3 linked regions of the Oryzias latipes genome follow. The protein of the gene in region 3 interacts with the protein of the main gene of each other region in a pairwise test. Links are inferred from orthologs where the notes say so. Each region holds a gene or a part of one and is shown on either strand. Other genes may lie near its edges.

Region 1 (8,216 bases), on a different chromosome or scaffold from region 3:
TGTCTTCCTCGACACATAGACCATATTCCCCCTGTCTCACTCTTACCCCTTCTGCTTGAGCGCCTGTCAGAAAAATGCATAAAAAAATTAAATAAATGCATAAATTAGCTGCATCATTGAATAAGCCACAAGGTGGAAAGCGTGTGACAAAAGTAGCGGCTTATAATCCGGAAATTACGGTAGTCTTATAAAATAGGGAGAATTCCTGATTTATTATCTTTCCAACTAGAAATATATGCTGAAAATCTGAGGTTTTAAAAGGCTAAACATTTTAGTTTTAGCTACAAACTAGAAAAACTTCAGAAAATAGCTAAACTTTTCAATTAATGAAAGATTTTAATTGCTTAAAGGGTTTTAACGATTTCAATGACCATAAAGCATAAGGAACGATAATGATATGAAACTAAAGAGAAAAATTAATTCAAAAACTAGAAAGACGATTATGCTATGGAGAGAAAAAAACTGAAGTAAATGAGGAACGAAGCAGAGAACCAAAAAAACTGTTAGAGAGCCAGAGAGGCAGATCGTAAAAAGAGGTGAATATAGACACAGCACCTGCTGATGAAACTGACAAAGAATGGCAATTCACGTTCTACCAGTGTCAACGGGCACAATGCCCTCTAAGGCTCCCACTGCTCTCAAACAACCCTTAATCAGTAATGAGACCAGTGAATAGCCAAGCTAAAAGCATATTCTGGTTCAAGTAAAAGGACAGTTCAAGAATAACTCCTCTGTTCTAGCATTTCAACAAATGAAAGAATGACTCTCCAACACGAAATAGGTTTTAATGTCTGATGAAGACAGGAAACACCAAAGTGTATTATTGCTAAATTATTTCCATTTTATGATTTTCAAAATGTAGCTGTTGCATTACTGATTTGTTTTTCTGGAGAATATCTTCCTAAATTCATAAATATTTGTTAAAAAGTTTTTTTCAGCAGCAATTTCTAATGTAATAAAAAAATACTTTGAGTTTTAATTAAAAAGCAAAAAGAGGACAAGCATTTATCGTCATCTGCTCAGTCTGTCCTAAATTGATCCCCTAAACGACGCTGTTTCCAAAAACACATACTCCCATATTCCAACATATGTGAGTAAAAGCTCACCCGATTTTAATATTAATAACAAAAAGATGGTAGATATTAAAGTTTAATTTCATTTTGAGTGAAGAACAATTAATCCCTCCGTCTAGCACTGACTAACCCTGACCTCCTGCAAATATTTCATTATAAATATATTAAAGAATCTAGTTTTACACATGATCAGCATCAGCGAGATGAGAACAGAGGAATCCATGTTTTAAACTTTAATGATTCATGTAGTAGGACATATTAATAAAAAAATAACCAAATCTAAAGTTTATGAAAAGTGATGGTAATATTTGTCAATCTAATCTGACCTTTAAACTATCATTAAGTGTGCCTATGCTCATTTAAAAGTGATACCAAGTCACAAAGAAGTCATAAAATCAACACTGTCCCGCTAAAACAACATTTATTTTTGCTTTTCCTAAATAAATTTGTGTAAAAAGACTTGCCTAAATATGAGATAAGCAGCACAACAAATGAAATGTCAAATAAATATCTCAAAGAAACAACAGAAAAACAACTTGTGGTTGTGTTACGCTGTTACAAAACCTTTTTGCCTTTTCACTGCCAAACAATATTCGTCCGAGTGTCAGCACCAGCTGCAGAGTGCTGATAGATGAAATTTAATTATGGCTTTTACAGAATTAACTTTAATGAAAAGACAGCTGATAAAATCTGCCGTCGAGAAAGTGTTTTATTTCAAATACCATGGAACTTTATATCCAGCCACCATCAGTGTACCTTTTGCTTTTTACAATTTAAGAAAACACTAAAAACTTGTTTCCTTGCTAAGCAGGTAAAAATGGTACACACTGGTATTATAATTACGCTTCATTTTTGCCTTTTGATCCAAACGTGAGGCATCTGTCCTGAACTACAACTAAAAAGTTGAATTCAAAGAGAAGCATGAAGCACAGCAGCTGAAGCTCATGATTAGAAATCAAGATTATCTGACTGCTGTTGCTGTGCAGTGTGTGAGAGATTGTGTGAGGCAGACATTCTCTCACTTAAAATATTTACATCTGGTTAATGAAAGATACATAATACTTTAAATACATGAAAAGAAGACGACAGACAAACAAAAGACAAACTAGCACACTAAACACTCATTAGATCCAGCTAAATAAACTTTTCCTTCCAATCCGGTTGTGTTTGAATTTGTGTAAAATCAAAGCAACTGACTCACTGAATTAACAGTCAGCATTTGTTGAGCAAAAACATCAGCAGATGAGAATCTGTGTCTCAAATAAAGAATTTGAAACTACTGCAAACACCACAAAATTTTACTTTCCAGGCGCCATAACTTTGGTGAGATTTGGTGTACACGGTACCCGATTGGCTATTTGTGAGCATTACTTGCTTTACAGCTCCTTTGGGGTTCCACAAGTCTCGATTTTAGGGATGTTTTTTTTCTTTGAAACTTCTTACTTTACTTTCTACATAAATATTGATAATAATATTGTAAATATGTGACCTTAAAATGGACCCTGCCCAATTTTTTATTTTATTTTGTTGCAATTATTTACATTTTAAGTTTTAAATCATGTTTTGTCCAATTATTTTGTCCATACCTTTTTAAATGCTTGATATATTGTTTACAAAACTTTGGAAAAGTATTTTCATGTCAAAATATAAGCAGACTAAAAATCCTAAAGAAAGGCTTTCTTTATTCTATTTCTTCTTATTTCCTGTTTTTTGTTTAATTTTTGTTCTTGCTTTTTCTGTTTCAGTTACACCTACATTTAGTTTCATTACCTGTTACACTTGCAACATTTTTAAAAGAATGAGATTCACAGAACTCTGTCCAGGACACTTTTTGTTTTTACAATTTTCCAGGATCTGCCTTTTTAGACCATAACGTTTTGTAAAACGTCCTGTAGTAAAAATATATATCACAGAAAAAGTGTTGGTTCCTGATCCCAAATCAAAATACTAAGAGCATAGCTTCCATGTCTGTTTAGAGAAAACCACCATAGCATGATGCAGTCCTAAAAACAGGACAAACGTCTGCAATGATTCTACAACCAAGACCAAAGGGAGTCATCTATCTTCAGCCCTATTATCACCTTCTAAAATGATGTCTCTGTGAATATTTTACTTGTAGCTAACTTAAGATTAGGTTCAAATTATTCATCAGAGGCTTAAATATCTAAATGTTCCTTCTATATCATAGATCATCATCTAAAAACATTACAGTGCAAATTCTCATTGACAGTCTTTAGAAGTACCTGAGCTACACCCAAAGGCACAAACATAGACCTTCCTTAATGTTTTCTAATACTATTGCATAAAAAAGCCTAAAGCTTACCACTTACCTGTACTCAGGTACAGACTTTTTGATGGGGGACAGTACACAGACCTGCTCTTTACAGTTATTCTAATGTTGTCAGATTTATAATCACAAAACATTGTAACTGTAATCTATAGGAATGTCCCAATCAGGTTTTATTTTGGCCCTGATTCCGATTCAGAGTCATTTGATTTTGAGTATCTGCCGATTCCGAGTCCCAATCCGAGACTTTTGTAAAACATTTAAAAAATGAATGGATTTAATAAACAGATCTGGGTTTTTTCCCCTATTTTTCTTTTATTAACCTTCATTTATTGTTTAACACTTACACAGAGCACTTCTATGAAGTAGCTTTGACAGTCAAGTAAAACTAGTACAGCTATATTGACTAGTAAAAACAGTTAACTATTAACTAGTAAAGATTAGTCATGTGGGGAAAGTGTTGTGACTGTAGCTTTAGTATCTCCACAACCATTGAACATTTTTAATCAGATGTAGTTTATACATCTCCACTCTGACAAATAAATTATGATTTTATTTTGTAGCATAAATATGATGAGTATTCATGACATATCAATGGAACCATTAATTAGTTTTGGTTGTTTTTTAGAGATTGTGGGATTCTTTTCTGTAACCTCTTCAGACCTGGCATCAACATGTGTGGACAATCACAATATAAAAATCCGATCTCTAAATATCCTCTGTGTCTTCCATGAGATAAACACAGACGGAAATTTGAAACGTTATGCTGCAAATCCAAGCTTAGCTCACATCCCTGTTTTTGAATGACTTAATGCGAGTTGGTTTGTGTTTATTCGCATAAATGATTTTATGGAAACAGAGTACCGGTAATTGCGAAATTGCAGTTTTCTTTTGGCATTTCTAGAATTTCGATTAAGTTTTGCGCATATTTGCAATAGAAACGCAGCTATTATTTAAAGTCATATTGCTATTAAAACATTTTTAAACATGAGAAAGGTCAACAATGCATAAATATGCATTATAATGAAAAAAACCTGCAAAGAAACACTTGAGTGATAGGTGTATGTGTGTGTGTGTGGGTGTGTGTGTGGGTGTGTGGGTGTGTGGGTGTGTGGGTGTGTGTGTGTGTGTGTGTGTGGGTGTGCGTGCAGGTGTGTGTGCGCGTGTAAAACGGGACTCAGGTGGCTCACAGTGTTTACATCTTTTTCAGCTCCTGTGGGAGCAATGTGAGAACAAAACCGCTGCCTTGACAAAAGCGTCTCTGTCTTATGACAAACAAGTATTTTTATCTGTGTTAAGAGATCTTCTCTCAGTATAGAACATGTACACCCTCTGCGGGCGGCTGTCAAACGCCAGAGCAAGCATGAAAGCTAAATCATGTACCCTGTTTCATCTCTGTCACAAGAGCTCAAATCAGCTGGAAAACCCAAAAGATGTGCTTGTCGCTGTGTTTTCAAAGAAGCTTGTTGTGGTAAAATTTCCTTTTCTGTAAGACAGTCACAACTCTCCTGTGAGCTCCGCATGCCTGACTTTGGAACTGTAACTCCGTCAAGGCGTTCCCCTAACATGAACGATCAAAAGCTGTTCTCGTGAGGGCAGGACTGACCTTCAAGTGACTTTGAAACAAACGGTGGTTGAGATTCTTGCCTTAAAATAATCCTAAAAACTAAAGGAGTACCTGTTCTGAAAGGAGTGGAGATCAGCAGGGACACACTGGACTCGCCAGTGTCCGTTCTGGTCCGGGTAAAGGACAAACTTGATTTGTGTCTCCACCTGGAGCTCATTCTCCAAGTCAAATAAATGCTCCTTCCACGGACATCCTCCCTGAGAGAACAGTACCACCTCCCCACTGGGATCAACCTGAAAACAATAAAGGACAAGCACAAAATCATGGAACTCAATCATTGTTTGCAAAAACATGGAGATCAGGGTTAATATAGAGCACGACGTAGAATATAAAAAATAAAATATGGTGGCACAACCAATTATCCTTTTCACTTGCAGAAAAATGTCTGAATAAAAAAAGCCATTATAATGACTGTCCATCTGCAACTAGCTTCCACCAATCAGATCGGTGTTGAGGAGTAAATGGCAAGTCATAAATAACTCTTCATTAATAAAGCAAACACAACGGGAAGAACAACCAGTCAGTCACTGCAGCTGCTGCATTTGGCCAAAACGATAGAAACAGAATCTGGACCAAGTTCTGTTACCTGATGTCTCTCCTTGACTGCTGCCTCCACCACCTCACGAGCTGGAAGCCAGGAGGACTTGTAGAAATCCACGCGGTCCATGAACTCCTCCCCAACCAGTTTCATTGCCTTTCTGAAACCCTCCTAACACAATGTCGTTCATTTAAAAGAAAGAAGAAAAAACAAAGAGCGCAAGTTAGAATTATCATTAAGGTTATTAGAAACTGAGATACCATTTTTATATAATCAATTCATTTCTAACATCTGTCACCAAAATTTCACTGAACCGAGTTCTGTTTTAAAGTCAGATAGCAGAGGAGATAAAGATTTGAACGAGCAGCTCCACACAAATCATCACAGTTCTACTCGAGCCAGATCTGTTCCTAGTCTGCAACAGCCCGCCGAGCCGCAGTCTCTAATGGCCTTCAAGAATCACCTAAAGGGAGCTAAAAGGAAAGCCTGACACAATGAAAGATACATCCGGAAAACTCCAATAAGATGAAAACGTGTCTTTATAATGGACTTGAGTGAGAAGCTGTGCTCTCTGTGCTGAAGAACATCTGCTTCTTTCCTGACCGGCTTTTCCACTCGGCATTTGCAACAAAGATAAATAAATTAGGTCCTTTTCCAAGTCTATCTTTGCATCTGCCTATAATTAACCTTCAGGCACAGATTTGACTCCACTGCCCCACAACACTCTGCACATTTTCCATTGTTGTTTAGCCACAGCGACTGTCAACAGACTAGAAAAACCTTTATTTATATTTTAAAGAAATGAAAACTGAAAATATATATGACTCTACAGTTTAGATCACATTTTCTAAGAATAATCAATTGACATTTATCAATGAGAAAAGTTATTTAAGTCCAATTCCAAATATCAGTTTATCTATTGTAAAAGTGTTCCCAGTGGTCTTTTAATTAAAATATTAATTGTAATAATAATAATTATTATTATTATATATTTAGCCAAAATAAAGAAAAACCTGTGTTGCTTTTCTAGGACATAGTTTCTGCAGAGCGGCAGGAGGTCATCAGAAATTCACCTCTGAGTTGTGGGCGGGACTGTTGGCGTGGAGCAACTCGACCCCCCCTTTCCCATCACCCATTTGTTTACACTCTCTCCCGCTAGATTACAGCCCCTCACGCACCCAAGCTAACATTAGCGGTGCAACGAAAATGGTGGGCAATATTGGAGCTATCCAGTCGTACAGTTATGAGCCAGATGTCAGCTCAGACGAGGAAAACAAAGATGTTCATGGATCTATTTGTCTGCAAGTGGATGCATCGGAATGGAGCGGAGCAGGAAGCTTGTGGCCTGCCGGATGTAGCTTCCAAATAACTACAAACTTCATCAAACTGCATTTTCAGTCCACTCCTGATTTACAATGATTTGATTTATAAATACTCTGAAATCCAATTTTAAGCCTAATTTTCTTTATTTTTGTTATATAAATGTGACAAGAAAATTAAAAAATCAACAAAAACACAATTTTCATCAAAGTGGATCTTTAAAAGTCTGGTGTAACATAATGTTAAAGGATATAAAACACGTCTGTTAGCGTTCATCTGAACTTTTAATTTTAATGTTGCTTATAATAAATAAATACAATAAAAATGTTTTTTTTCAATCTTTTTTTAAATATTATTTTATGTTGGAAAATAATCTCCAAATGCTTGCCAACTATTTGTATGACTGTTTTTGTAAATCGGCAAATCCAATTATTAGAATTGTTCAATTCTGAAATATAATCAAGTTCCAGTTCTAATTCTGTAGATATTTTGATATAATCTTCAGATGTTAAAAAGATAAAAGTGAGTAGTTGAAGTTGTGTGTTTGTATCCCTCCCATTTCTGCTACAAATTGTCCAGGCTTGTAAGTTGTTTCTCAGCATGGCCCACATGTCAGATAGTAGAATAATGCAAGCTGTGAATGCTGAAACCACTGAAGCAAAGTCCGTGAAGGTGCATGAAATCACAACATTACTTTTCTTTACTATCTGTGCAGAATGGAAACATTACTGTGCTCAAAGATGTGCATTTTGTTGCAGTCTTGGTTTGAGATGCTGTCTTTTTTTAGCCTTTTCTTTCCGAATGAGTCCTTTATTTTCATATTTAAAAAGCTGCACACTTTTCAGCGCTGCTCCATCTGTTTAATATTTTTAGTGGATCTGTTTGAATCCATAGGTGGTGTTGGGTTTAACATACATCAGAAAGTTTAAAGCGTGGGAATCACTGCAGGGAAAGTTCCTGCCGCAGAAATCTGCAGTTCTAAAATGGAAATTGTCACCAGCAGCATTACCTGCATATTTCATTTGTAATAATATATTTACAACTCATCCTACATTGCAAAAACAATACATTTATGGAGGGGCAAAAAGTTCAACATGGGAGGTATGTAATATTTATCAAAAATAAAGACAGAATGTACAAAAATGATCTAGGAATGTTCATTTGAGGATTTTCAAATAATTTAACGGTACAGAAAATAAGTATTTACCTTCTTTTTTTTTTTTTTTTTTTTTTTTTTTTTTTTTTTAACTTGTCCTGTCCAACAGCTAGGCAGGCAGATGAGAGCTGAGGGCCTCTTGTGTTGGACATATTTTACTTTAACAAGAGGGGTTATTAATCTTCAGACAAACCAAAGGTGCGACTGAACAAACC
Region 2 (7,879 bases), on a different chromosome or scaffold from region 3:
GATATAGGTGCAATTAGATAGATAGATAGATAGATAGATAGATAGATAGATGTATTAATTGTCCACTGGGGAAAGTTGTTTTCATAGTAAAACATTTCTTCATAAGCTACGGAATTATGGTATTCATGCATATGCCTTTAGTTTGTTTTATTTTTGATAAAACAATGTATGGCGTATGTCTCAACCATTCCGAAAGCAACAAGAAATTACATTTGCGCTGAACAATTTCCCATTTCCACATCGATTATTACCGACATCTGTAGCTTGTCAGATGCAATTAAATGGATGGAAATAAAATGCCCCATCACAATGCGTAATGACGCACAATGGCTGATCTTGCGCTCTTAGAAGATGTGGCAAATGGAAGAATTCGGAGTGAACGCATCTTTAGACAGCAACAAGACTTGCTGGCAAACGAGGACGAGTGGCTAATGAGCCGGTTCCGACTTCCTCGAGCCGTCCTGTTGGAGGAGGTTGTTAGGCTACAGCCGTCTGCCACCGTTTGCCACTCAAGTGCCTTCTTGGCATTAGTAATGCCCACACTGTGCCCTCCAAACAACATTTTTCTCCTCTTTTCCACTTCACCAACGATAACTTCTACTTCACATTGAGTGAAGTTAAGTTTTTTTGATTTCCTCTCTGTTTTTGCCATGATTTTGCAATCCATGAATATTAACTTGTGGGCGTTTCACGGACTATCTATGGGCAACTATGGGCGTGTCATGAAGCCCCAAAAGCTGCGCTACATTTAGAATTGATTTTGATTTATTAAGGGAAACATCCGTAGGATGTGCGTGCGCACGGTTTTATAAATCCGAATATTTCTGTGCGTACGCACGTCCTATGTTTCATCCGTACACCACTTCTGACGCAAATCCTACGCAAAGTTTTATATATGAGGCCCCAGAACCCACACCACAGGGACACGGACGCCCCCAGGCTCAGATGTGATGTGGTCCCCGGCTTTAAATGAACATTTTAAACACGAGCATGTGGATTGAACAAGTGCGAGTACATGTAGAATCCAAACTTCTGGGTTTACGAAAACAGTTTTGTTTTTATATTTAGAAAAAAAAAAAAGAATTTGAAACCAAATAGAAAACAAACTCCACTGTGTGTTTACTATACTACAGAAGGAAAACTTCCTATAAAACAACACTCATACTCTGATCCTGGGACATGGAGAGCTTTGACCATGCTCTGCACCAATACTCTCCAAAGCCCTCTGTGTCAGGGTCCTCATCTTCTGTATCTAAAATGAACAGTTGGGCTAAATTTCTATCAAATACACCAGATTCCCTTTTCATCACTATCAGAGTATGTCTCGTTGCCGTGCGGCTCCTCGTGAATAATGCCGGCCTTTGTGAAAGCTTGAAGAACAGTGAAAGCAGACAAGTTAGCTTAAGCATCCACAATCCATTCACAAACTGACGTAACACGCCTGGCGCTGCCTCCCAGTCTTAGTGAAAGACTAAGACTAGGTAAAGGAGGGGAAGATGAAAAGTTTTTCATTGTAATCTGCTTGAAGTTGCGGCGCCACCGTAGTCCTTGCCCTGATGGAAAGATGGCATCGTTTTATAAAACGAAAGCACCAATACTGACCTCCTTGAAAATATTCAATTTTCATTTCCTCTGCAAGCATTACTGTCTTCAGTCATATGGTGACTGTAAAGAGGCTTCCTCCAGCTGGCTTGACTGTTCTCTGATCGTTAATCCATCGCTCGAGTCGGTCTTCCAACCCAGGCCACCTGGCCTTGTTTCTGCCGAAAGTCTTCCTGACTTGTCGGAGTTCGTTTTCCATCTTCAGACATGCAGACATGCTCAAGTTCACGTCAGGTTTAAGTCAAACTCTGTTTTGTTCAAAATAAATTAAACAAAGAATTCCTGTAAGGTCTTCCTGCAGAAAGCAATCTTTTAGAAAAGTGAAAAATGGTCAAAGGTTGAATTTGTTTTTGAGCTCTTTGTGCGACTCGGATGGCGAAGCTGTTAGTTGATGAGTGAAAAGCCCAAAAGTCTCATAAAACACTGCTGGATCCATCTTAACTGAGGCTGAAGCTTTTATCCCATCAGTTACCCAAATAGTTAAAGTCATTGACTTATATGGCTGTCTAATGATCATTCTAAAATTATTAGCAGAGGTGGACATGCGTCTGTTTCTGGAGTTTATTCTGCATTTTTGCATCTAGAAAATGAAGGGAATTTAGCATGCCAACGTGCCTTTAGGCAAAGCTGATCTGGTTTTGTTGTTACCAAACTGCAGCAGCAACCGAAAGAAATGGAATTGTTTTCCCTTTTCACTCCAGGTTAGAGCGTTTTTTAGAAGAGACCACTGCTGAGGAGGCATGAATATTTTTCAATCTAAAAGAAGACGTGTGACGTTAAAACAAACTGAGTGTTTTAGTTCTCATTTGTTAAGCAACAGAAACCAATGCTGTGACTTTTAGGTCTGAAACTGCCCACATCCACAAACACTCAGACTGTGGAGTTTATTTGTCTTCTCCGTTTTTGTCTGCCCATCATCTTAAGAGCTTAGTCTGTCTGATCAAACATCATATTTTTTTCTAACAGTGATGTGCATGGATGCAAAGATCAACTTTGACTCCAACGCAGCATATCGACAGAAAAAGGTCTTTGAGATGAGGGACTGGTCTCAGGAGGACCCCCGAGACCATCAGGCCGCCACAGCTGACCTTAACTACATCGGATTGGATGGAACCATCGGCTGTCTGGGTCAGTTCCATGATCATGAAACCTGAGACTGGTCTTGATCAGCTAGGAGAAAAAGATGAATAATCTTGTTTGTGGGATTTGTTCTCTTTAGTAAACGGGGCAGGTCTGGCCATGGCGACTATGGACATCATCAAGCTGCACGGTGGCACTCCAGCCAACTTCTTAGACGTCGGGGGCGGAGCCACAGCACATCAGGTGACCGAGGCTTTCAAACTCATCACCTCTGACAAGAAGGTAAGACGTGTTGTCTTTGTCTGTGAGTCTTCTTTCTGCTTCTATGTCAAAGGGACTCCTTTTAGAAATTCCAGTTTCTTAGTTTCTCTTCATCATATTTTACAAATGTAAGTACATCTAGAAATCTCTAAAACAGATTTGTAAACATGTTTGTTTTCGGCTGTGGTTTTGCTCTTCAGGTTCAGGCCATCCTGGTCAACATTTTTGGAGGCATCATGAGGTGTGACGTCATTGCCCAGGGTATCATCATGGCCGTGAGAGACCTGGACCTCAAGATCCCCATAGTTGTACGGTTACAGGGTACGGCACACCTGAACAAAGAAAGTGACGAGCTTTGTGCCCCTGATCATGGATATATTGGAGAAGGGAGCTGAGGAATGTTCTCACTCCCTTTTTTGGTTGTGAAATAAAAAAAGGTTCACGGTTCTTTTCAAGCTGCTGATAATAAAAGTTCTTTTGTCTTCAGGCACAAGAGTGGATGATGCCAAAGCTCTGATCGCTTCCAGTCCTTTAAAGATCTTGGCCTGTGATGACTTAGATGAAGCTGCCAAAATGGTACTTAAAACAAGAACACAGACATCTTTTCCATTTTAAGAAGCACTTAAGCACCATGGCATGTGTGTACTTACACTGACATAGCACAGCATGAGTATTTATAATGTCAAAGACCCACTCCAATGAAAATGTTGTCTATAACTTGTTCTTCTGGCATCTCATGATGGAGGAAATATTTGAAGACAATTAACTTAAAAAGTTTTTTACTTGAGTATTTATTCAAATTGTTGTGAATCAGGAGCAGACAAAAAATGTAGTTTGAAAGAGTTTGTAATTTTGACGGGCCACAAGCTCCCTGTTCCACTCCATTCTGATCATCCACTTACAAATAGATCCATGAACGTCTACGTTTTCCATGTCTGAGCTTGGGGGTTGTGGGGGGCTGTAAGCTAGTGGGAGAGAGTGCAAACAGATGGATGATGGGAAGTGGGGACGGGCTTGCTCCACACCAACAGTTTTACCCACAACTCAGAGGTGAATTTCTATTGAACTCCTGCTGCTCTGCAGAAACTATGTCCTAGAAAACAACAGGTTTTTTATTTTGGCTAAAATTGGCATCATAATAATTAAATGATCACTGGGAACACTTTTACAATAGATCAAAAGATGAATGAAGCTGACATGTTTCAGGTGCAACAAAAAATACATCTTTATGTGGTTTCTTCTTGTTAAGTCTGATATCTGTTGTTGCCTTTGATATTCTTTAATGAAGGTGCACTCTTCCTCCTATGTTCTCTCCAGGTTGTAAAACTTTCAGAAATCGTCTCTTTGGCTAAAGAAGCTCAGGTGGACATCACCTTCCAGCTGCCCATCTAAGAACCTGACCACCTCTCTTCCAAACACCGTTCCCCAGATCGCTCTTCTCTGCTCACTAGCAGCAGGACTGAACTCCTTAGAAGACAAATTCACCTTCCTCTTCATCATCTGTTAAGGATTTTCAACATCTTAAACTCAAACAAACACCCTTCTTTATTTATGTTTATAAATTTGTTTCAACCCCTCATCTCCTTCTACATGACGCTCCCACAGGCTGTGTTGCACTTGAGCCGATACGCACAAACATTTCACCTCCTCTTCATCCTTAGAGCAGGACTCGTGATCAGTCTGTTTACTTCTGCACCTATTTGGTTAAAAAACAAAACATTCTCAAAAGTCTAATAAAGAACAACACAGCAGTCGTCTCCTCAGTGTGGTTCTTGAGCGCCGTAATGATTGAAAAACAATAAATGTGTATCAGCAAGGAGATGAAGACGAATATGCTGCAGCCTGTTCCTATGCTTCAGCTGTGAGTTATTTTTCATGTTTCTCAGCAAACAACAGCTGATTTATCAATCTGACTGAAAGGTCTGGAGAAGAGTAATATTTACCACAGCAATGTGAAGGTTCTGTGTGTTATCCTCCTGATTTTACTTATTTAACTGAACACAAGAAAAAAACATATTTTGTATATGTGGCAAACTGAATCCTCTTTAAGTGCTTTCCCAACACGAACCTGGATTTTTATCACTGATCTTGACTTAACGTTGTTTGATCAGAAGTTCAGACTTAGGATCACGAGTCTCGCATTTGAACATTTATCTCCTGACATCCTTTAAAAAGCAAATGTATTTCAACTTGATACTGGAGTCCAGACTAGAAGTCTGTTCTTTCTGACTTCACTTCTGTTTCCACTTCTTAAAGAAAGATCATTGGCTGTTTCTCTTTGCTGTCCTGCCACAGAACAAAAGACTTTTAGCTTTCTATTTGTAGGTTTGAGTCTTGTTAGACGGCCAGACTATAAAGCAGTTCGTCATTTTCTTCTCCTCTTTCTCCTGCTGAGCTTCGAACACAAGCAGACAATGTGAGATGTACGTCACTAATTTTACCATGTAAATAACAAATGTTGTTCTGTACCATATTTATGCACCTCACACAGAGGACAAACCGGTAAGAAAAAGAAATAAATGCTGGGAACACCAGTACTACAGTGTGGAGGCCTTTCTTTCAATGAAGATAAATTTTAACTTTTTTCACATCAATGCTTAATGCTGTGGTCTTGAGATCATCCCATAATTGTGGCTTAGAATGCAAAAATATCACTTTTGGTTTCATAAGGTTAAATAAAAATATACATTTATTACTATTTGGTTCATAAAGTGAAAACAGGGCTGCAAACTTTTCAGAAAAGCTTGGAGTGAGACTCAGACAAATGAAGTCAGTCTTTACGGCAGTAAGTCGTAAAACAAGGCAAGTTTAGTTATGGGAAAGTGTAATTATGAAATAAAGCACCTTTAGGTAAAAAAAAAAGACTTTAAAGAGCAACAAATTATTCACCTTAACATGAGAAACAAAGAAACTAAACTACATACTAAGACCAGACACAAGGCATTTTGAAAAAAATTAAAAACTGTCGCTTGTAGAAATTATTTGTGGCCTTTTTTGATGGTTTGAGAATTTCAGTGGATGGCTCCCACTTGAACCATGGCTTAAGGCCTGCTTTCGTAACCCTTGTGCTATTCTAGGCACTTTAACATTGGGAGTTGGGTCATCTAGACCGACTAGACAGTGCTCTGAACCTTTTTTCTTCAATGATTTGTGGTCTTCGCTGGTGTCCATGGATTACATGAAATCTTTCCACCTTTATCCACCTTTGTCATGGTAGGAATAACACGTCAATGGAAGGGTGGGGTCATCTAAGATAGCACAAGGGTTAAAAAAGGAATCACCTTGTCTGGAGTTCCAAAAGTGGGGGTGGACCGAAACACAATAGTCAGCAATGCTCCAGGGGGTATTCCAGAAAGCAAGAGTAAACTACCCTGACTTTAACCCTGAACTCGCCTGAACTTGCTTACTCTGAGTGCTTAACATGAAATATACCCCCATTTCAGGGAACACAAAGCTGAGGCTATCTACTTCCTTAGCCTCAAACTTACCGTGGGAGCTAGCATAACCTGCTTTCTGGAATACCCCCCAGGTTTTGGATAGTTGTTTGTAAACATCTGTTAGTTATTTAGTTTCGAAGAATTCAGAAAAGGTTTAAGTTTTTCTCACTTGTTATAATGTTCTTTATTTAAAGTTTGAAAGTTATATTCTTTAGTTCATATTATGTGTTTAAAAATGTGTAGATTGTTTTTATTATTACAGAATGCTTTTGAATATTTAAGTTGCAATGTTATATAAAGTTCTTTTTACAAGCTTTATTTATGCTTTGTGGTTGTTTGTGGTATAAACATCCCACAGTTTAGATGAGGTGCTGCAAAACATTCAATAAACTGCTAACAAAGTACGTTAATACATTCTATAACCCTTGTGCTATCTTAGATGACCCCACCTTACATTGACGTGTTCTCCCTACCATGACAAAGGTGGATAAAGGTGGAAAGATTTCATGTAATCCATGGACACCAGTCAGGTTCACAAATCATTGAAGAAAAAAGGTTTAGAGCACTGTCTAGTGGGTCTAGATCAGTGTTTTTCAACCTTTTCTGAGCCACGGCACACTTTAACCTTAAAAAAAAATCCCGCGGCACACCAGCATCCAAAAAGTTTTAAAAAAGGAGAAACTCAGTCTGTATTGATCTACAGCCCCTCCCTCCACAGTCTCACATGCATTTTTGAGATAATTGTTGCAGAAAAAGCTGGAAACTGCAGCTGTTTTTTTCTAAAAGATGCAATAAAAGTTAAGTTAGAAGATTTAAAAACAGTTTGAAGTGTGTTCGTTGGTTTCAAGACGTTTAACAACAGATCTCCTTGTGCGCTGTCACTCTCTCAACCCAATGCATCATGGGAGATGTAGTGCATAAAACGGCCGGCGGAGATCGCTTTTCGGAGCTTCATGGTTTTGTTCACTTGTTCCACGGTCTGATACCGGACTCTGTGGAAAGCTACACCGCTAAAGACGAGCTTTAGCTGCTATTTTTGTTAGAACTGAGCGACTTTACGAGCTAAATCGGGACAAGGAAGTGAAGACTTTAACCACTTCTGATTGGTCAGACTGATGACATGTGATTAAGCTCCCCAACAATGATTGGTGGAGACAGTTAAAGGGACGGGACTTTTCCAAAATACAGCCGGAGCTGCAGCTGAGTCGTGGTAACGTCATTCTTATCAAAATGTCTTTAATAAAATAAAATAAACGCAAAGAAAAAGTATTTTAGGATCTTTTATATTCCTAACTACTCAGTGTTTTATCAGGGCCTGTTTGGATGAACAGAGAGCTGAAATCCTGGAGATGGAAAATGTTGTTAAATCAGCTAATGAGGGCAATTTCTCCACGGCACACTTGACCATCTCCCACGGCACACTAGTGTGCCGCGGCACACTGGTTGAAAAACACTGGTCTAGATGACTCAACTCACAATGGTAAAGTGCCTAGGATAGC
Region 3 (8,316 bases):
TTTTTTATTTCATTTGATTTCATTAAAGTTGTTCATTAGCAAAAATAAAAAGTAAACCAGATTCAATGAGATTCTTGAGCCGCCCTTTTTCATCCCATTTCTCTGAATTAAACACCTTCAATTGGCTTTGTTGAAACATTTTAAAAGCTAAATTTAACTTTTTATTTTTGAAAAAAAAAAATATCAAAGAATTTCCGAGTAAAATTAGGACTTTTTAAAGCATAAATATACAACTTTATCTCATAACTTGTAATATTTTTAGTCCTATTTAAACTATTTTCTCTTCATTTAACGACTTTATTCCAATATTTTTTTGGTTTATATTCATTTGTTATGATAGCTTAAATTAATATAAAACAGAGTACCCTAAAGGTTTCCTTTTTCAGATACTAAGCCTTCCCTCGCACTTTAGTCCTTTAGTAGAGAATGTGAAAGCTTAAAGAACAGATTTTGTTCTCACGTATATTTCTGCTGTTGCAGCTTCTCCCTCTCTAAACGCTCCTGCTCTCTTTTCTCCTTCTCCTTCTCCTTGCGATCGGCGTGGAAGGACGATCCGTCCACGTAGTCGCTGGCGATGCCAAAAGCAGCACGGAGACGGTCGTTCTTCTGCTGGTTTGCAGCAGCCATGGCATGAGTCTCTGTCACCCTGAGAGGACAGAAAAACCACTTTAGTCATAAACAAAGCGCATTGAAAAGTCCAGATAAACACATAAGCCATGAAAGTCCATGGGTGCTGACACTTATAGATGTATTGCAGCTTCACCTGCTTTCATTTATAGCAGATGCGTCAAACTCCAGCCCCCGAAGGGCTTCAGTGGCAGGTTGGTTGAAAAACATCTTAGACACCAGCCACCAGCTGTGACGGTGTGGGATTTTTGATCACCGCGGTGATGAACCAGCAGGCGGCGCTGTGTCGCGGTTAACCGCAGGTTTACATATTGAAGTTCAAGCAACAAACTCTATTGGGATCAGTCTAATGCCACGTTCACACACCGGCCTCGACAATGCCCGTTTAAACGACCACTTCCAATGAAAAGTCTGTGTAAACGCATGTTTCAGGCTTCCGCGTTCAAAACTCTCGTGTTTGTGCGTCGCTAAGGACATTTTTAAGACAAAACGCACAGCCATTCAGGTTGAACAATCAGGGACTCTGACTTGGTAGTGACTCCCATGGAAGGCGTCCATCTTAATTCACAGAAGTACCAACCGTTTGAAAATTGATCATTATAATCATTGAAAATTAATAATCGGGGTTAGTGCCTGGCCATAATTATATGACACCAAGTCTTTCATATATCGGAAAAGAGATGTGAAAAAAAGAAGCCTGGAGCTAGATCCACAAGATTTACACCCCTTCGACATTTCGCACCAAGCGACTGTGAGCACATGCGCTACGATCAAGAAGCGCTGGCCCAGTGTGAACATCATATAATAATAATAATAATAATAATGGATTGGATTTATCTGTGCTTTTCAAGACACTCAAAGTGCTTACAGTGTGTCCATTATTCATTCACTCCTGATTCATACTTGGTGATGGTAGCTACTGATGTAGCCACAGCTGCCCTGGGGCAGACTGACAGAGGCGTGGCTGCCATTTCGCGCCTACGGCCCCTCTGACCATCACCGGGATCATTCATACACATTCACACACCAGTGGAGCCACACTGGAGGCAAGGAGGGTGAAGTGTCTTGCCCAAGGACACAACGACATTTTGGCTGGTGGGAGCGGGGATCGAACCGCCAACCCTTCGGTCATTGGACGACCCGCTCAACCACCTGAGCCACTGTCGCCACTATATGCAAAAAGTGCATCCAAGAACCTGCGTTCAGCGCATTCTTGACCGTGCAACACCTGCCCTGTGTGTACGTAGCTTAAGTGCGATGCCAGAATTCCAGATCAAGTCCTTACGTTGGTTTCTGAGTGCTGGAGGGAGGCGGCTCCTCCTTTTCCTGAAGCATCATCCTGAAACTGTTCACCTTTTCCTCAATCTCTTCTGCTGCATACCTGAATGACCAAACAACAGAGACAAGCCATAGCTACCTTAATATGCAGTTTCAGATCAAACACGTTTTTTCCCAACAAAAATATTCTATTCTAAAATAAAAACAGCAATCCTTCATGAAAAAGGAATATAGTAATGGACAAAAAGTCTGTTTAATGATGTAAAACTTATTGATAAATAATCCTAAAATGGTTTTGTAGTTCTTTACCCTTGCTCCTCCATCATGTCTTGTAGTTCAGCACATTTGACCTCTAGCTGCCTCTTGCGCTGATGCTCCAGGATGTCCGCATTGGGCTGCCGGTTCAGCTGACTCTCCAGCCTCTCCCGGTCCTTCTCATCTCGTTCGCCGCCGCGCTCGTCCCGCGGGCGCTTGACCCGCACACTCGACAGGTTGCGCTGCACATAACCGTTGGTGCCGCTGCCCCGCGGAGTCGTCAGGCCGATGCCATTGTACATGGCTCTGCAGAGGAAAAAAGAGGTGCTGAACCTAACTTTATCCCAAATTTACAAATTCCTGTGAAGGAAAATCTTTCATTCCTAAGTGTTTGCAGAACTGAACTTCCACACACATCTGCGACGACCTGCATACTAATAAAATAAGGGCAGTAAAAGGGATTGTCTCATTTTGCCAATGATGCAAATATATCAACCAATCTATTCCATTTATTATTATCTCCATTAATGTTTTATAACCTGATAAAGTAAACATTGTGGATACACAGAGAAAAAAACGTTATTATCCAGGAAAGAGAAATATTGTATATTTTAGTTTAAACTCAGAATCAGAACATTCAAGGTCTGTTGAAATGCAATGTGGCAGAGCAGCAGATTATTTTAACCCGTTTTAGATTTTCTTCAAACAAATAACATGGGAATACAGTGGATTACGGTTTCCATATCATTATCTGACGCATGTCTCTTTTTAAAATGGCAGACGTGGCGATTCCCTTGTCAAGATCGCTTGGTATTTTTAATCTGTAAAAAAAACTGATTTTAAAAATAAACCATAAAAGAAAAAAAAACAAACCTAAAAGTGTGAAATCAGTGGTGCATCACAAAACGAAACTCTCCCAGCAACAACAATTGGGTAACAATCTGGTGAGCCGAGTTTACCGTACAGGCTCGAATGATAATCAGCCTTCAACACACATAGTAAGGAGTCCGGAGACTCAAGAAAACGTGCGCACTCACTGTTAAGTTGCATTTACGAGGAAAGTGTTGTTTTTTCGACTATAATACACGTGCGCAGACATAGGCCTTTTGCTGTAAGTGACTTTAAAACTTCACTAATGTCATCAGAAATACTACAAAAAATGTATTTCTAGGCTATACTAACGTTTTATGTTTAAATAAATTATCCAAGAAGGCCTGAATAAATTAAACAGGTAGAATTCACGCATTAGCTAGCTAACTAACTAGCATGCTAATATAACAGCTACGTACCAATTTGTAGGTTTCGCTCGATTTTTCTTTCTTTTAAAAGAAAATACCGAACTTATATCAACTTAAACTTTGCGTCTGATACCTTACTCCACTGTCAAATTGGTCGAATTGATCCTCAAAACAACCGTATCCTTAGAACAAAAGCACTCTTAGCACTGTTAGCAACCAGATAGCTCTCAATTCAACCACGGCATAAGTGAGAGGAAGACAAAACTACGTCACACGTTCAACAGTCGTCCAAACCGTGATGCGTTCAAGTGCCGTAAGATAATAGTAGGAACATTGATGTTCATGAGAATTGCGTAGTTTAGTAATGCATTTATTAACTACATTTGCTTATCATTAATTTGTAATAAAGTGAACTGAGCCACAATACTAAACAAAATTCTAAAAGGTATTATTTTTTCCTGATATACTGAAGTAAAGGTTAAACCCATTAGTAATGAATTCATTTAAAAGTTTAGAAGCGTTTCATCAAACCATATTAAAATTGAAAAATAAAATGTGTAACTATCCATTTTTTTCTGAAATATTATTCAGCTAGTGATATTTTTAAAATTGTTTTACAAAATTGTATATTTTACTTTCATCTGTGAGCACTTTTCTGTTGTCTATTTTGAATTTGTTTCTAAAATATTCAGTACGTTAAAGACGATTTTGAATTTTTAACTCAAACCTTTAAAAGGAAACGTGAGTCACTTTTTTAAATTTCCTTATTTCTAACAAACGTGTTTTTTACTATTATTTTTATTTATTTATTTATTTATTTATTTATTTATTTATTTATTTATTTATTTATTTATTTATTTATTTATTGGACATAGCGAAGGGACATTTTTAAATGTATGGATGTGTTTTATTTAATTGCTTTTAAAAAGGACAATTGTCGGTGTGCAGAGAAGCATAGAACTTCATTTCCCAGAATGCAAGTGGTTAAAGTTGACGCAGGTTTTGAGATAAAAACATCCTGTCTTAGCTCGACCGTTAGAGACGCCGAAGCAGCAGGTGGAGTGCAGTCTAATCCCCAGCTCCAGTTTAGCTGTAGAACTTTAAGGGGTTTCACGCCACAAATCTAAAACACCGAAACCACCGTGATGGCTGAAGGCGACAACAAAAGTTCAAACGTAATAGTAAGTGCACAATTTCCCTCCTTTTCTTCATCTCGTGACGTATTTTGGTGGTTTTAGCCTAATGTGTTCAACGTTAGCATGACTCGCAGATGCTAATTTTACTAGCTTTTCGCCGCATAATATTTCCATTAATGTTCATTATTAACTTACAAACTGTTAATAATATTAACTTAAAGTTTTGTTTGTATATGTTGTTAAAATTAGTTGAGCTTTCCACCGCGACTCTTCTTTTTTAACGCTAGTAGCTAACGTTAGCTAGCTATCTAGCATGATTTTTAGCTGGGTTTAGCCTTCATCGATCGAAGATTTTGATTGTTGAATGTTAAAATTGCATAACATAAGCTTTAATTCTTAATAATATAAAACGATATATGATTCTTCTTTTGGTTTTACTAACAGAAATGTTGGCATGTACGTTGGTTATTTCTCAGAGACGCCCCAGTGGGTTTAATTAAAATACTCCCCGCATTATAATCGTTTTGCGGAACATGTCTCGTTGCGGATACTATAGTTTTAAAGCTCCATTATTGCCTAATTTAAGACTTCCGCTTAATTGAGCCACGTCATTTCCCCAACTTTTAGAATAAATTACTCAAACCAAACTGTTGGTTTTTGGGCTTTTGGCTGCAGTGCCAGACCCTCCTAAAAAGAGTTTAGGCCTCATTTCAGTCACAGTGCAGCATTAGACTAATGATTTAAGTGTCACCCTGTGGGTAATAATTTCCAGTGAGTCACAGTTTTGTTATCAGTGACTCTGACTGATAGCTTTTGTTTTAAGGAAGATGTTTTTAGAAAGGGAAAGGCTGACAAGAGACCAAACAAAGAAGGGAGTGTATAGACAAATATTCATTTGTCGTTTTAACTATTTATTCAGGAATGTTCCTGAAAGCTTTCTTCTGTTTTTGATTCATCTGCTGTCAAAATAGAGTAAAAGCAGGAATAAAAAAAAAAGTCATCAAAATAGAAACATTTTTTTTTACTGGGGACTCCAGACTGGTTGGTTGGTACCGGGTTTGCTGAAGCAGTGTTCTGTGTTTAGGCTCAGGAAACTGCACAGCTGGAGGAGCAGCTGCAGGCCTGGGGAGAGGTGATCCTGGCTGGGGATCGTGTTCTGCGATGGGAGAAGCCCTGGTTCCCTGGAGCTCTAGTGGGAGCTACCACCGTGATCTTCTTGTAAGTCGGGTTTACTCTATGCTGGGTTGGGTTTTAGAACATGCCATACCAGAATGGTTTCATCTGGGATTCTTTCATTTTTCTTTCGGATGTCTACTTTTAAAGATCGACGCTTGAATTGTTAATGAGGTGACCTGTAAGGACAAAAGGAGGATATATAGTAATGTCGCTACAGAGAATTTGCTCTGAAAAGTCCAATTTCCATGAAAACTTGAGAAACTCTTCATTTTTATGTTTCATTCTTAGAGTTGAACAACAATTGCTTCTTTCAGGCCTAATTTTGTTGCAACACAAGGTTTTTCTTTGCCTGAGGGAAAGTTTTCGGTTCTCTTTCACTCTGCCTTCAGTTTTTATCAGAGTGCAAATGCAGTTGTGTAAATGTTTTCAGAGTTGAGAGAAGTTGGTAAATGAAAATGTATGTAAGGATTTAAAACTTTTAAAGGTAGTCAGACTCATTGACCCACGATGAGGGAATCTCACCTTCTTGGGATCTTCAGTGCTGTTGCCCAGACTTGCGTAAACTCATGTCGGCACATGGAAAAACTGAGGTTTACGGCTATTACCATGTGTTCTCTCACATCATGCTGCATTAGACACTGAGTTGTTTGTATTTGCCAACGTCTCTCTTTTTAACTTCCCGTGTGCTGCGCTGCGCCTTTTCCTGTAGATTTAGAGCTTTTTGTATCTGAAGTCATATTCAGAAAAAAAAGCTGCAAACTATCAAACATTTCTAGTTGTATAAAATATCACAGCCTGAAGATGCAGACTAGCTTGTTGGGTTTAAAAAGCACTTTGTGTTTTGTTAAAATCACAGTTCAGCTGCTTTCTTAATGTGCTGCATTCCTGTTTAATTCCCCCAGTGTCCACGCCCTTCCTCCATCTGCAGCCCACAGTTGGATGATTGTTTATCAGCCTCGCAATACTTTTTCAGATGTCGTATTCATAACCGCACAGAAACCTCTGTGTGTTGTTGTTTTTTTTTTTCAAGTAGATGTTTGAATGTTTGCTTCCTGTTTCAGGCTGGTGTATTACCTGGACCCGTCAGTGCTGACTGGACTCTCCTGCACAGTCATGCTGCTCTGCTTGGCTGACTACTTGGTTCCCACCCTCGCCCCCCGAGTATTTGGCTCCAATAAGTGGTGAGAGGATCACCCAACCCTGTTTTGATTCTTAGTTTGGCATCAGAGCCGACTTGGTTGACAAAAAAGTCTGAATGGTTTTGTCTTCATGGTGGACTTCTCTTTGTCAGACGTGATGCCTAAACGGAATGTTCATTGAGCTTTGAAATGTCAGAATGAGCTGAGAAGCCAGTTCACTGAAAACCAGACACCATGACGGCAGAGCGACACGCCGCAGGTGGCCAAGGGCGCCCTTCATCCCTCTCTTGGTGTCTTAGGTTTCTGGATATTTAACCCCCCATCAGCTGTCCGTGACCCGCGCTGCTCTACTTAACACAAATAGCAGCAGACGGGCTGGTGGTGTTCAGCAGCTTTTATTTGACTGTCTATTCTGGGTCATCTGAACCTCCAGTATCTGTTCGGATGACGTTTTTCATTTTGCAGCTTCAGCCAGGCTGTCGTTCTGTCTGACCAGCTCGCTGACTTTTGTTGTCCGTTGCTGAGACTGCAGAGGAGTCTGATCAAAACGATGTCCTAAGGTCGATGAATGTGACTGAGCGTGCTCCCGCTCTGAGAACACAGGCAATGACTCGGCAAAGTGGGGGGGCAGTGCTCCAACATGGGGGTTTCAAGAAAGTTTTCCCTTTTTTTAGTGAGGAAATATTAAGGCTGTGAACATGCAGAAACTGCGGTCAGCAGCCATCCATGAAGCAAAGCCGCTTATCAAAGTTTAATAAAACGAGGTCACGCTTTCTCCCACCCCTCACACAGTGTTCTTAACCGTTTGAGTGCAGGACTACTGAGCAGCAGCAACGCTTCCATGAGATTTGCGGAAACCTGGTGAAGAGTCAGAAGAGGGTTGTTGGCTGGTGGAAGCGTCTCTGCGCTCTGAAGGAGGAGAAGCCCAAAATGGTAAATTTAAACGCTGCAAGTGAACAGCAGAGCGTTTGAAACTGCGGCCCAGATTAAAACTTCATCTGACTAGGCTGAGCCGGTCCGCTTGTAACTGGGTTACAAGCAGCAGGAGTCCCAAACTTTAACATAAAGCACTTCCTTTTTGTTTTTGATGAGTTTCTCTCTAAGCTCAGGAAGTTCTCCCCCATTGTTTCATCTTCACAGTACTTTGCCTCAGTGATCAGCAGCCTGCTGGCAGTGGCCTGGATCGGACAGCAGGTGCACAACCTCTTCCTCACCTACCTGACTGGTAAGGTTGTGTCTTTGTTGTGTTGTCGTGACAATGTGCTTACTCTGCAGTTTTTCAGCTACTCGTGACTTTCAGGCTTCCTGCTACTGTAGATCAATCCACAGATCAATGCGGGCTTTTAGAGGCGCACCCTCCTGCTGTTTAAACCTGTGACACATCTGCTGATTCACAGATGTGTCACAGGTGAACCTCTGTCAGCTCCAGCGCTCTGAGACATGTCTAGAAGTCAGAACAAAAGTGGA

Evidence for each region.
Region 1: the proteins of arl6ip1 (region 3) and c5h12orf10 interact in binary tests that used the Homo sapiens proteins (3 or more experiments, as listed by UniProt). The two-hybrid records come from large-scale screens. The link is inferred for Oryzias latipes from reciprocal best matches to the Homo sapiens genes ARL6IP1 and MYG1.
Region 2: the proteins of arl6ip1 (region 3) and sucla2 interact in binary tests that used the Homo sapiens proteins (3 or more experiments, as listed by UniProt). The two-hybrid records come from large-scale screens. The link is inferred for Oryzias latipes from reciprocal best matches to the Homo sapiens genes ARL6IP1 and SUCLA2.

The regions. Positions count from the first base shown.
Region 1 is NC_019863.2:10,356,981-10,365,196, forward strand, and holds part of c5h12orf10 (UPF0160 protein MYG1, mitochondrial), read right to left. Parts: intron 5,697-8,216; coding exon 5,574-5,696; intron 5,221-5,573; coding exon 5,039-5,220; intron 1-5,038. UniProt on the Homo sapiens protein: 3'-5' RNA exonuclease which cleaves in situ on specific transcripts in both nucleus and mitochondrion. Involved in regulating spatially segregated organellar RNA processing, acts as a coordinator of nucleo-mitochondrial crosstalk.
Region 2 is NC_019879.2:13,984,848-13,992,726, reverse strand, and holds the end of sucla2 (succinate--CoA ligase [ADP-forming] subunit beta, mitochondrial), read left to right. Parts: intron 1-2,568; coding exon 2,569-2,730; intron 2,731-2,821; coding exon 2,822-2,964; intron 2,965-3,143; coding exon 3,144-3,264; intron 3,265-3,430; coding exon 3,431-3,519; intron 3,520-4,260; coding exon 4,261-4,335; 3' UTR 4,336-5,480; downstream 5,481-7,879. UniProt on the Homo sapiens protein: ATP-specific succinyl-CoA synthetase functions in the citric acid cycle (TCA), coupling the hydrolysis of succinyl-CoA to the synthesis of ATP and thus represents the only step of substrate-level phosphorylation in the TCA.
Region 3 is NC_019866.2:2,355,061-2,363,376, reverse strand, and holds the start of arl6ip1 (ADP-ribosylation factor-like protein 6-interacting protein 1), read left to right. Parts: upstream 1-4,416; 5' UTR 4,417-4,543; coding exon 4,544-4,579; intron 4,580-5,618; coding exon 5,619-5,752; intron 5,753-6,771; coding exon 6,772-6,891; intron 6,892-7,664; coding exon 7,665-7,782; intron 7,783-7,989; coding exon 7,990-8,074; intron 8,075-8,316. Other genes in the region: serine/arginine repetitive matrix protein 2, read right to left, coding at 461-646, 1,913-2,008, 2,215-2,462. UniProt on the Homo sapiens protein: Positively regulates SLC1A1/EAAC1-mediated glutamate transport by increasing its affinity for glutamate in a PKC activity-dependent manner.